4 linked regions of the Yarrowia lipolytica genome follow. The main gene of each other region encodes a partner of the protein of the gene in region 2 in a complex. Links are inferred from orthologs where the notes say so. Each region holds a gene or a part of one and is shown on either strand. Other genes may lie near its edges.

Evidence for each region.
Region 1: YALI1_F30106g (region 2) and YALI1_E18326g share a complex: the UniProt entries of both Saccharomyces cerevisiae proteins name them as parts of the mitochondrial small ribosomal subunit. The link is inferred for Yarrowia lipolytica from reciprocal best matches to the Saccharomyces cerevisiae genes RSM10 and RSM27.
Region 3: YALI1_F30106g (region 2) and YALI1_A03402g share a complex: the UniProt entries of both Saccharomyces cerevisiae proteins name them as parts of the mitochondrial small ribosomal subunit. The link is inferred for Yarrowia lipolytica from reciprocal best matches to the Saccharomyces cerevisiae genes RSM10 and MRPS12.
Region 4: YALI1_F30106g (region 2) and YALI1_B08193g share a complex: the UniProt entries of both Saccharomyces cerevisiae proteins name them as parts of the mitochondrial small ribosomal subunit. The link is inferred for Yarrowia lipolytica from reciprocal best matches to the Saccharomyces cerevisiae genes RSM10 and MRPS9.

The regions. Positions count from the first base shown.
Region 1 is NC_090774.1:1,830,953-1,833,560, reverse strand, and holds YALI1_E18326g (uncharacterized protein), read right to left. Parts: upstream 902-2,608; coding exon 651-901; intron 580-650; coding exon 504-579; downstream 1-503. Other genes in the region: YALI1_E18378g (uncharacterized protein), read left to right, coding at 1-387; YALI1_E18303g (uncharacterized protein), read right to left, coding at 1,110-2,608. UniProt on the Saccharomyces cerevisiae protein: Component of the mitochondrial ribosome (mitoribosome), a dedicated translation machinery responsible for the synthesis of mitochondrial genome-encoded proteins, including at least some of the essential transmembrane subunits of the mitochondrial respiratory chain.
Region 2 is NC_090775.1:3,009,330-3,012,288, forward strand, and holds YALI1_F30106g (mitochondrial 37S ribosomal protein uS10m), read right to left. Parts: upstream 1,291-2,959; coding exon 502-1,290; downstream 1-501. Other genes in the region: YALI1_F30116g (uncharacterized protein), read left to right, coding at 2,316-2,959. UniProt on the Saccharomyces cerevisiae protein: Component of the mitochondrial ribosome (mitoribosome), a dedicated translation machinery responsible for the synthesis of mitochondrial genome-encoded proteins, including at least some of the essential transmembrane subunits of the mitochondrial respiratory chain.
Region 3 is NC_090770.1:338,686-341,263, reverse strand, and holds YALI1_A03402g (mitochondrial 37S ribosomal protein uS12m), read right to left. Parts: upstream 1,015-2,578; coding exon 505-1,014; downstream 1-504. Other genes in the region: YALI1_A03396g (uncharacterized protein), read left to right, coding at 1,257-1,275, 1,648-2,578. UniProt on the Saccharomyces cerevisiae protein: Component of the mitochondrial ribosome (mitoribosome), a dedicated translation machinery responsible for the synthesis of mitochondrial genome-encoded proteins, including at least some of the essential transmembrane subunits of the mitochondrial respiratory chain.
Region 4 is NC_090771.1:817,476-820,812, reverse strand, and holds YALI1_B08193g (mitochondrial 37S ribosomal protein uS9m), read right to left. Parts: upstream 1,463-3,337; coding exon 503-1,462; downstream 1-502. Other genes in the region: YALI1_B08207g (uncharacterized protein), read left to right, coding at 42-191; YALI1_B08186g (uncharacterized protein), read right to left, coding at 1,848-2,210; YALI1_B08156g (uncharacterized protein), read right to left, coding at 2,678-3,337. UniProt on the Saccharomyces cerevisiae protein: Component of the mitochondrial ribosome (mitoribosome), a dedicated translation machinery responsible for the synthesis of mitochondrial genome-encoded proteins, including at least some of the essential transmembrane subunits of the mitochondrial respiratory chain.

The sequences.
Region 1 (2,608 bases), on a different chromosome or scaffold from region 2:
AGGAAAACGGCGGACTTCGATGTGGAAGAGGTACCTACAACACCTGATGGTGTTCCAGTTCCAGCAGACTACTTCCTGTCTACAGACCCAATGACACCGAACCCGAATGCTGGCAGCTCTGGCCGTTTCTCATGGACTTCGGAACGGTCAAACATTGACAGGAACTCTATGTGGGACCGGCGCGTATCAGGCGACAGTGACAATTTCAAGGACCAAGACTCCTCTGATTTGAACCTCATCCACAGACAGGAAGACCAGCTCATCGACTCGTTTGAGAACTCCGTTTGGGGTGGAGCTCTGTCCAAACGAGCTAGCCGATACCAACGTGCAGAGCAAGATGACGAGAAGGATGAAACACTTGACGACGATAGCCACGACTACATCTAACCATGGATATACTTACATAATTTATAGAAATGTTGAAATTAATCGAAACATATACACCGTAGTAAACGTGCTTTGTATTTCGTCTATGTACATGGCAGTATAAATTAATAGCATGCCTATTTTTTCTTCTTTCCACCGGCCGCCTTCTTCTCGGTGAGCTTCTTAGGGGCTCCCTTTCCTCGTTTCTTTCGCCTGTTGTTAATAATTGAACCACGATTGTGCGTGTACCTAGTAGCCTTTATACAATAGGATCTAATACTCACTGAACAACGTTGGTAAGTCGGTACCACTCAGTGTAGTCTGCGAAACCAAACTGGGGCATGGCCTCTCGAAGGCTCTTCATGCTGAAGTCGCTTGTGGGGTAGTAGCTCTTGATCTGCTCGCCAATCAGCGGTGCCCGGAGGGCCTTAGTGCCACGTCGAAGGTTCTCGGGGTTGTAAGACCGATTAAAAACCTGGGCAGTCAATTTTGCCAACGAGGTAAGTCGCTCTTTGCTGGGCCGGATGGGGTTCATCGTGGTGCGAGTTGTGTTGTGGTGATTTGGGACTGAAAAGCTAACATCTCATTGAAACCTTAAACACACGTGACCCGATAAGCTCATTTGAAAACACAGCCATCAGAATTACTGTATGAAGGTATGTGATACGAGTATCGTAAATAATATCCTGTTAATTAAATATATGGGTGGGCAAATGTAAATGCCCATGTAGCTTGTATGAAACTTAGGATTGAGCTACATCAGGAGCGGCAGCGGTGTCAAGCTCGTCTTCGACCTTGATGTCATCCTCATTTCCAACGTAGACCGTTTTCTCAGTCTTCGTTCCTGGCTCATAATCGAAATCCAGGATTCGGAGATAAGCCTCGTTGTCTTTCTGGACAGCTGCGACGAGCTTGGATCCACTAAACCGCACTTGCCAGATTGACTCACACTCCGTGAACAAATCTTTCACAAGTTTGCCAGTACGAATATCCCAGAGCTTCAAGCATTTTGCGGAACCACTGACAACTTTGTATTCGTCGTGCTGAAAGCAAGAAATTGCCTCCGCGTGTCCCTCCAGCTTATGTATGTTGCCTCCAGTCTCGGGGTCCCAAACTCGAAGGGTCCAGTCAACTGCAGCCGACACGAGCCAAGATCGGTTGAGGTCAAGGAGACCAACAAGCGAGGTGTGACCTTCCAAAGTGTACAGGCAGGATCCTGACTCAAGGCACCAGACCCTCACATTCCAGTCAAGCGACCCAGAGATGCATCGATTACGCTGATGATCAAGAACAGCAGCATATACTCGCTTGTGATGTCCAGAAAGTACAAACTTGCACTTTCCAGTGTTGATAGACCAGACACGCACAGTAGTGTCATAAGATCCAGAGACAAGAGTGTCACCGTAGCCATTAACGGCGCGAACAGAATTAGAGTGGCCCTGGAGTGACTTCATGAAGTAGGGATCCTGAGTGGACTGATCCAGCCATTCAGGCTCGCCTGGAAGAGGAAGCTTCCAGACTCTCAGTGTCTTGTCCCGAGATCCAGTAACAATGAGAGGTCGAGAAGGATACATCTCATCGGGGTCGGTGCTCTCCGTTCGTGCAGTAGCACACATTGCATGGCTCATTGGCACAGGAGTCAGGATGCTTAGTGACCGCACCGTAGAGACGTGACCTGTAAAAATGTGGGTGCATCGTGCTTCTTTGATGTTCCAAATTCTAACAGTTCTGTCAATACTTCCACTGACCAATGTATCACCAACGTACTGCAGAGCCCACACTCCTCCAGTGTGACCTTCGAGTCGACTTCGTTGACGGCCAGTTTTAGTGTCGTAGACGTTGATCCAAGGGTCTTCGCTGGCAGTGACAATGATGTCATCATCAAACTGGAGACAAGTAATGACTGCCTCCCGTCCAGTTCGGATGCATGTGGAGTCAGGTGTGGAGTTGGGATCCATCCAGTTGCGACGAATAAGATGTCTTCGACGGTATATGCTCTTGTACAGGTTGATCTTGCTGTACAGAGGAGTGGATTCGACAATGCTAGGATCGGTGTCCTCGGACCCCCACGTGGTATAGTCCCACTTTTGCTCGGTAGCTCTGGCAACGTCAGCATCGGTAACGGGCGCCTGGTGGCTCTCTGAAAGACCCTTCCAGATTGCGCCCAAGCTTTCAACAATGGAGTTCCAGCTTTTTGAAACCTGTGATGCGGCACAAAGAGTCTTGTAGTCGAGGTGGGACA
Region 2 (2,959 bases):
CTTTCTTGAGAGTGACGGCAGTGACCATACCTTCGGTATGGCCACCCCGGCTGAGTCATCAGTCTGCTTAGTCACAGTGCCTGGGTTCTAACAAATTTAAGATTTGACTTCGTGGCCAAGTTGGTTAAGGCGTACGACTGTTAGTCACCTGAATGGCCGCCATCGTAAGATCGAGAGTTCGACCCTCTCCGAGGTCGTCAAATCATTTTTTGTTTCTCTGGGTTGAAACGAAGTTTTGTTTTTTTTGGAATTGGTAACAATAAGGCTGTCTGATGCTTTCAGGTTGTTTTTATTGTCACTTTGACATCATGTGGCTTATGACAGCTGTTTTAAGAATCCAAACACAACTGGTTCACTTAGTATGTTACTCCGTAAAGCTATCTCGTGCACTATTGAAGCGGCCTCTCAGATGATACTTGAAGCCATAAACTACGCGTGAGCTACTCATTCCATCTACATGTCTGTCATTCAACCGTACTATTCATATATACACTATTTACATTACTCCTTCTGGAGCTGTTGGGTCTGGTCAGCCTCCTTTTCCTGAGCCACCTCCTCGGCATCAAACTCCTTGAGCATCTCCTGCACTCGGGCCTCTACGGCCTCGTTGGAGACCTCATCCACCTCCATGGCGTCCAGCTGGTCCAGAGACTCGGGCAGACCTTCGTGGGTGAACAGCTTGGCCTTCATACCGACACCAGCCAGCTTGTTTTGCGAGAGGAACTGCACCAACACCTGAATGGTATCCTGGGATGCGTTGTTGAGAATGAGCTTTCGGCCGTGGGTTCGTCGCTCGAAGTTTTCCTTGGACTTTGCATGCACGAAAACTGCTCGGTTCACAGTCCATCGCTTGAATCGGGTCTTTTGGGGCACAGGTCCCTCAACGGGGATTCGCAGGTAGTAGGCCGCTCGCTGGGCAAACTCGGTGAAGACCTCTAGGTCCTCGTGAAAGTATGCGTTGAAGAGGAGCTCGGCACACTTGACCTTAGGGGTGCCCTCGGGAATCTTGACCTTGAGAGGTCCGTAGTAGTTGGCGAGAGCAGAAATTGGCAGAGGTCTCTCAGAGTTGGCCTCGTAGATCTTGTGCTCGGTCTGGGTGTAGGTGCCCTGCTTGGGGACCAGCAGATCATCAGACAGCTGCTGTCGAAGGGCCTGGGCCTTGGGGGTCAACTGGGACTCCACTGAGGCCTGGGACATCTTGCCTAGCTCATTTTGTCGGAAAGTGGAGTTGAATCGCACAAGCGCCGTTCGCGGCAGTGTTCGTGGGGCCAGGGTCCGAAGAGGAATCATCGTGTGCTGTGTCGGTGTGGTTTGATGCGAAATTTCACCACACCTGAGTGTCGGTTAAGTTTTTCAGGGTTAGGTCTGGTTGGGACAATTATGTAATGGGGGATGGGATGGGAGAGAGAGTAGGCGGGAGGCGGTACAATAGGCAAAGGGTGTTCTATTTATTGTGCAGTAATTGTCTGTCTATTGGTATTGGTAGTACATGTGATATTGTGGTGTTTAATCCGTGGATCTGGTTTTTCATTCGTTGGGTTTTGGAAGAGTCAGTGTCCGAGATGTGGAATGTCGTCAACGAAACTTGATGGCGCTAAGTAATAAGATATGCTAGTTGATGATTAGTTAAAGGACCGGGCGACTGGCTGATTCATAAATTTATTGCCCACGGCGGCTATATTAACACAAACTGCTACAGTAGATGGCAGGGCAAAGGTTTGCATTATATTCCAACGCCGATGGATGCAACACAATCCTAACTAACAGAAGATGTGTCGAGTGGCGATGTGGGCATAGATGTGAGTGGCGTATACCCTGAAGCCAAACACGTGTTTAGAAGACAAGTGTGAGGAGGAGGAAATACGGGCGGTCTTGATTGTTTAATTGGGTAGGTATGCTCTCAAATTATTTCTCACACGTTATACACAAGCTAACATCTTCATTACTTCAGCTACTGTCCGGTAACGGAGAAGTCTCACTGGTTGGTCAGCTTTCAAATGATCCAAAACTTTGGTTCACCCTCCTACTCGTAGTACACTTGCTTGAACTTTTATGGTAATATATACAGTACAATAAATCAGAGTTGAGGTCTGTGTTGATATATGCTACCAAAAATGGCATGGTGTGCAAATTATACATTGTAAAGGTCATAATCCGACGTTTTTCCACTTTGTATGACTAGCCCCTGTCACTTTTAACCACCTCTCACCATAGCCTCCACTGCGCCTGCCCGACATGCCATCGCCCAAAGTCTAACTCCACATCGCAGTGCATAAACACGCTGATAGTGATCCACACCTATCCACACCCCCAACATGTCCGAGTACCGACGCCAGGCGCACTCGAAATACAAAATGCCCGGGGGTCTGCTGCCTCCGGTGAACCTCGGCGAGGGTTCTGGGCCTACGCACGCCAATTCGGGCTTGCGCACAGACTCCAAAATGGCTTCATTTGTTGCAGTGCCTGACCGAAAGGCCACCTCCTCGCCCTTCAGACACTCGGGGCAGTTCAGCAACTCATTCACCTCGCTTGCTAGCCTCAAAGATCTTAGCGACCGAGATCTCCCGGTCAAAGCCAGCCCTCGCAACAATAATAGCCATGGCACCAACAACAGTAACAACAGTAACAACAGTAGCAGCAACAACAGCGCCAAGGATGTGTCTATCCCCACGACACCCAGATCCAGCTCTCCCGCTACAGCCGCTCTGTCACCAGTAGACGAAATGAACAGTCCCAAGAGCCCTACCGAAGCGGCATATTCGTCCGGTCAAACGCCGCCTTATTTGAGAAACATGACCATGAAACGACGGAACAACAGCAAGTCGGCCACACCGCCTCCTTCGACTCCTGGACTGCTTGGACGAGCAGGAGACAATGGCAAAAAGAGCAAGGACGAGATTCAGGCATCCCCACGGTTTCTGGATGTCAACAATAGTCAGTGGAGAGAAGCCGCCACAAG
Region 3 (2,578 bases), on a different chromosome or scaffold from region 2:
GCTGATTGACTTCTCTTCATCTAACGGTCGGAACTAGCTATGCATCGGTATGTCTCCATGTACCATTGTAATGAATATGATATGAATAACAACTGACTGTAGTGAAGGTGTATGGAAGGCATTATCGAGATAGATTGGCGTGGGTACTGGTACGGTAACCACTCTGAAGAGTTTGATTGTTACGTGTATTTTAAATCAATATGACCAGGCTCGATGACTTTGTAGATGAGCAGGCCATTTTCCCGTCCTGACCAGGATAACCACGTTCATGATCCCAGATAGCAAGTGTTCGGGAGAATAATCCGGAACATGACATTGTCACAGGATAAGCGACTTCAACTGTGCAACTACTCAATAATAGCACCTTTTTACGACTCTGCTTCCAGTAAGTCCCTCACTGGAACCTCCTCTACATCCCATTATTTACAGAATCACCGCATCCCGAAAACCATCACATACACAGCTCACGACGTGTCGCTAGCTGATGCTCCATTACTATATACATTAGGCGCCCGGAGCAGCGGGCTTCTTGGTTCCGTACTTGGATCGCGAGCTGGCTCGGTTGGGCACAGCTCCGAGATCGCCGGCTCCTCGGATCAGATGGTACTTGACACCGGGAGTATCCTGGACTCGGCCTCCTCGGACGTAGACCACACTATGCTCCTGTGCGTTGTGACCCTCTCCGGGAATGTAGGCGGTCACCACCTTGCCGTTGCTGAGACGGACTCGGGCGGCCTTTCGCTGGGCAGAGTTGGGCTTCTTGGGCTTGAGAATCAGAACTCGCAGAACAACGCCCTTTCGCTGAGGGCACGACTCGAGATCGGGAGACTTCTTTCGTCGGTAAGGCACAGGTCGGCCTCCGTCTCGTTGGATCTGGTTGATGGTCTTGTGTCGCACGGTGAGAGCGGCCAGGGTGGGGCTCATTGTGGGCTTGGGGAGCGCAGAGGCTGTCCAGGGCAGACGAGCCATGCCCATTCGGGCGTTTGTGAGGGCAGCTCCCAGAGATCGAAGCATTTTGTGTAGTTCGAGATCGCGAAACTGCTGACTTCAAGCTTTGAGATAGTGGCACTGCATGCAAATTTCAGTGTTACCCGGCCGTAAGCCCAGAGACCCAACTCCCAAGGAGACCCACCCAGTGTGTGTGTGTGTGTGTATGTATAGTATATAGTTGGGTGTGGCTTCCGGGTAACCCCCGTCAGAAATGTAAAAGTCAGTGGGCAGAAGACCCCTTCGTACATCTTATTCAGACACGAAAAATGGCCGACGAAGAATACAGTGAGTAATTGATACCTGCGAGCGCACAAGGCGGCGTGCACTGTCGCACACGAGCAACCGCAAGCCGTATCTTATATCTGTTGGCAAAGATACTGAGCTCTCCACCCAACAAGAATACTAGCACAACCGCAACGACAGAATGAGAGAAGAGAAGAGAAGAGACACTCGACAAGTGCCCGCTGCAAAGGTGTATTGCGCCGAACCTGTTTCAAGGACACAGAACGGGTCCAGTTGGAGCTGTTCCCATATTTGTCTACCCATTTTGTTCGCCATGAGGTTGTGCTGGGCTCGGTCTGCATCTGTCCACCACAAGTGTCTGTATTCGGCACCAGTGCATCACGCCAATCCACCCACACGCATCCACTAACACAGACCGTTCGGCTTCCCCTGAACAGACCTACGAGAGACGAAGTGTGTCTCCCCGTCGTGATGACGACGAGGCTGGTGCCCCTGTTGAGCACACCCACGACGACCGAGAGCTCGACGACCGAGACCACAGCATGCGAGACCGAGACGACCTCGACCGTCGAGATGACCGGGACGACGAAAACAGAGACCACCGAGACGATCTCGACCGACGGGACGACCGGGACGACCTTGACCGTCGAGACGACCGACGTGACTTTGACAGAGACGACAGAGACCTGGACCGACGGTCAAAGGAGCCCCTGAATGACGACGACGATGTTGACGCCCAGAACGAGGGCACCAATCTCTTCGTCACTGGCGTGTCCCGATACGTCAATGAGACCGAGCTTGAGGACCTGTTCAAGCCTTTTGGCGAGGTTCTCAAGTGCCAGATCATGATGGACCCCCACTCTGGCGAGTCCCGAGGCTTTGGTTTCGTCATGATGGCCGACGTTACGGGCGCCGACGAGGCTCTGGCCAAACTTAACGGCCATGAGCTTGCTGGCAAGACTCTTGCCATTGAGAAGGCCAAGCGAAAGCGAGCCCGAACCCCCACCCCCGGTCGATACTTTGGACCTCCCAAGGCCCGACGAGGTGGCCGAGGTGGAGGACGATACGGAGACGATCGATACTCCCGAGACCGATACGACTACCGACGACCTCCCCCCTCTCGATACGACGACCGTCGATACGAAGAGGACTACTACCGACGACCCCCTCCTCCCCGGTATGATGACCGAGACCGATTCCCCGGTAGCGGCGCCCCTGGTGGCGGTGCTGGATACCGAGGAGAGCGAGGTGGCTACGGTGGTGGCCGGTACGATGATCGGGATCGAGAGCGATACCCTCCTTCCCGAGATTACCGAGGACCCCCACCTCGAGACTCCCGAGACAT
Region 4 (3,337 bases), on a different chromosome or scaffold from region 2:
TTTCATCCTTGGAAACATGGTCACACGCATAGCGGACAGAGATTGGTGCGAGTGTTCCAAAGCGGGTTCAGATTGGTGGCGAGTGTTCCAAAAGCGGGTTCAGGTCTTCGTCACAGAGATCCCCAGGCCCAAATAAGGCACAAGTACTGACTAGTTCCACGGTATGTGCCAGTGGTAGCTATAGATTGTAATGATATAGATGACAGGGAATCTTGAGAAGATGAAATGAATCAAGGAACATATCTATAAGGTATGTCGCGAGATCATTGGTCAGAGAATGACATAGGAGTTAGGTTCTCTGTAATGGCAGAATTGTGTGCTGCCAGACGTATTCTTTCTGTAAGACTATTGCATACTCGTGCCATCTCAATCAAACATCTTCGTTATCTTATATACAGGTATACCAACAACGGCCAAGTGCAACCACCACTGACAACCTATCGTTCTGCTCAAGGCAGCCAAGTGGCGTCTCCACAAGACAAATATATACAGTTCTCGTCTCTTATCGCTTGACCCAGGTAGGGGCGGCTCGGGCTCGTCGGAGACCAGGCTTCTTTCGCTCCTTGGTACGGGCGTCTCGAGTCAGACATCCGGCCTTAGACAGTCGCTTTCGGAGCAGGGGGTTGTGGACAATAATGCCTCGAGCAATGCCCAGAGAAATAGCGCCGGCCTTGCCAGAGTTGCCTCCACCGAGGACAGTAGCAAACACGTTGTATTTGCCCTCGGACTGGACGACCGACAGAGGGAACAGCACCTCGGATCGATGCTGAAGCTCCTTGAAATACTGGGACAGCAACAGACCGTTGACTCGGACTTCACCGACGGTTCCCTCGGGAGCCTTGGTGACAATGACTCGTGCAGAAGAGGTCTTTCGTCGACCTCGGGTCACAGCTCGTCCCTGCTCGTCCAGAGTCTCGATCTCGCCGGACTCTGCGTCGGTATCAATCTTTCGCGAGAATCGACGCAGTAGATCCTTCACCACCTGGGGCTTGAGCTGGTTGTCAATGTAGTACAGATCGGCCAGAGCCTTGGTGAGCTCAGTATGCTGGGGGCCGGAAACGGGCTCGGAAGAACCAAGCATGGTCAGGTAAGTGATTCGGGTCACGAAATTAGGGGGAGAAACACCCTCTCGGTTTCTAGGAAGGAACTCGTACTGACGTCGGACTCGGTTCACGACCTCCATGGTCTGCTCATGAGCTCCTCGACCAGTGTACTGAAGAGCCGTTGCGGGGGCAACTCGCACGTTCTCGGCCGCGCCGCGAGGTGTCTCGGAGATGCTCATGTCCACACCAAAATTCAGGTGCTTCTTTCCTCCTCTCCACTTCTGGGCTTCCTGTGCGTCTCGCTCAGCCCGCTCAGCCTCTCGCACAAACATGTTTTTGGGCTGTCGAGGAGCCTGTGTTGACTGGAACCGCACGGCGCCCAGACTCAGGTTTTTCACCGATCGAGTTAGTCGCAGCATTGTGATTGTGGTGATGTGTGATCTGGTGATAGTTTCCGCCTATTGAGAAATTTCATGGGTGCAAGAATTAGACTTTTGCATGGAGGAAGCTCGCCGGTTCGATTTTGGTCAGGATCATATAGTGTAAGGTTATCTTGAATTCGAGACCGTGACGGGTCTCGATTTGGGCAAAAAACCCATGGAAATTCAGAACAATGTGAATAAAATGTATCAGACATTAAATTGGTCAATAAATGAAAATAATCTTACTAGAATGTCCACTGCGTTCGATTAATGGCCAAGGTGAGACATTTCCACCTCTTGATCACTCGCATTTCTGCTCAACTTGATCAAAATGTTCAAATGTTCAAATGTTCAAATAAATAGTCAATAAATACCCCCTATCCTACCCTTGAAACGCATAAACAGCCTCCTTCAGACCCTCATTTCGTCTCAATACCATATCAAGGTCCCTCATGGTGATAACCACCCGGTTGTCGAGCTTGGCAAACGACTCCAGATCTCCCCCCAGGGTCACTGCCTGCTCAAACACGAGCTCAGTCAACGCATCAACAAAGGAGTTGTCCACAGGCACGCTACGCGTCTGCTCTGTCACAATCCTCGACACAGTTATCCAAATCGCAGATTTGAGACGCTGGGTTAGAATAAATAAGACCCGAGAGACTCGCGTGCACGCGTATCGTCTAGTGGCGTGGTCGTTGATCGCGAGGCCAACTTGTGTTGCATCATCATATGTATCATATGCCATTAGGTGTAATCAAGGCAGTCAATACTCACCTGTGTAATCTCCTCCTTGGTCCCTGTTTCCTTCATTTTGATGAGTGAAAAGTTGAGTTCTGCGTTCAGTATTACTGTACTGTACATATAAACATACTGTACACTGTAGGCTTAGAGTTGATTGTGGGGGAAACTGCAGTGCTGTTAGATCTTGCGAAATTCGATCAAAAAAAACAAGGAATTGGGAAATCAGACATTATGAAACATACCGCCAGTCTTGTTGAATTGTAGGGGATTCCATTCATATCTATACCAGATTTCACTGACTTTTCTTGTGGGAGACTGGAAATTCTCTACCTGCGAAAATTGACCAACCTTGTTAAATAATTGGCTGGAACTGTACGCGGTGTATTCTGCTACTGGCTCTGCCGTGACATAAATGGATATAATTAATGTATCCCTACAAGCTGTAGTTCTAATGAATGTTTGTTGGGTTGTCTAGCTTTCGGCTTTCCTCTTATTTTCCAAATCCTTCTGCTCTTCCAGCAGTCTCTGCAGCACAAATGCTGCCACATCTTCATCTTCCAGGTAACTGATGTGAGATGCAATGGCAGAAATGAATCCCAGATCCAGCACACTCTCCTGAAGAGCATAGTCAATTCGTCCAGTGGCTGACAATGCCCCCAGCTTGGTGATCACTCGTTGTCTCTCCTCGGGAGTCAGCTTCCGTTTGGAGATACTACTTGTCGAGGGGAACTCGGCACCCTCGTGGCTGGGCTGTACCTTCTCCTCTCCTGCTCCCTCTTTTCGTTCCTCTTCTTTCTGTTGCTCCAGGAAGCTTGCGGCATTGAGCAGCTTCTGGGTGATGCTCTCTCCACTCGTGTAGATGGTGTTCCACATCTGCTGAGCCCCTTCAGCGACCTGACGACCGAGGTTGGAAATGGACTCAGTGGAGAAACCAGACTTGGTGAAAGGAACACTGGCAGGACGCAAAAAGGCAGCAAGCTTGTCAACCAGAGGCTCGATTCGATAACTGATAGGGTCTGAGGGGTGGAAGATGTTGTACAGGTACTTAACGTTGGGAGATAGGTAGTTCGAAGTCGGCTGGAACTTGGTTTCGTCTGCAATCAGATTGTTCTTGTGGTTCTCGGCGTCAAA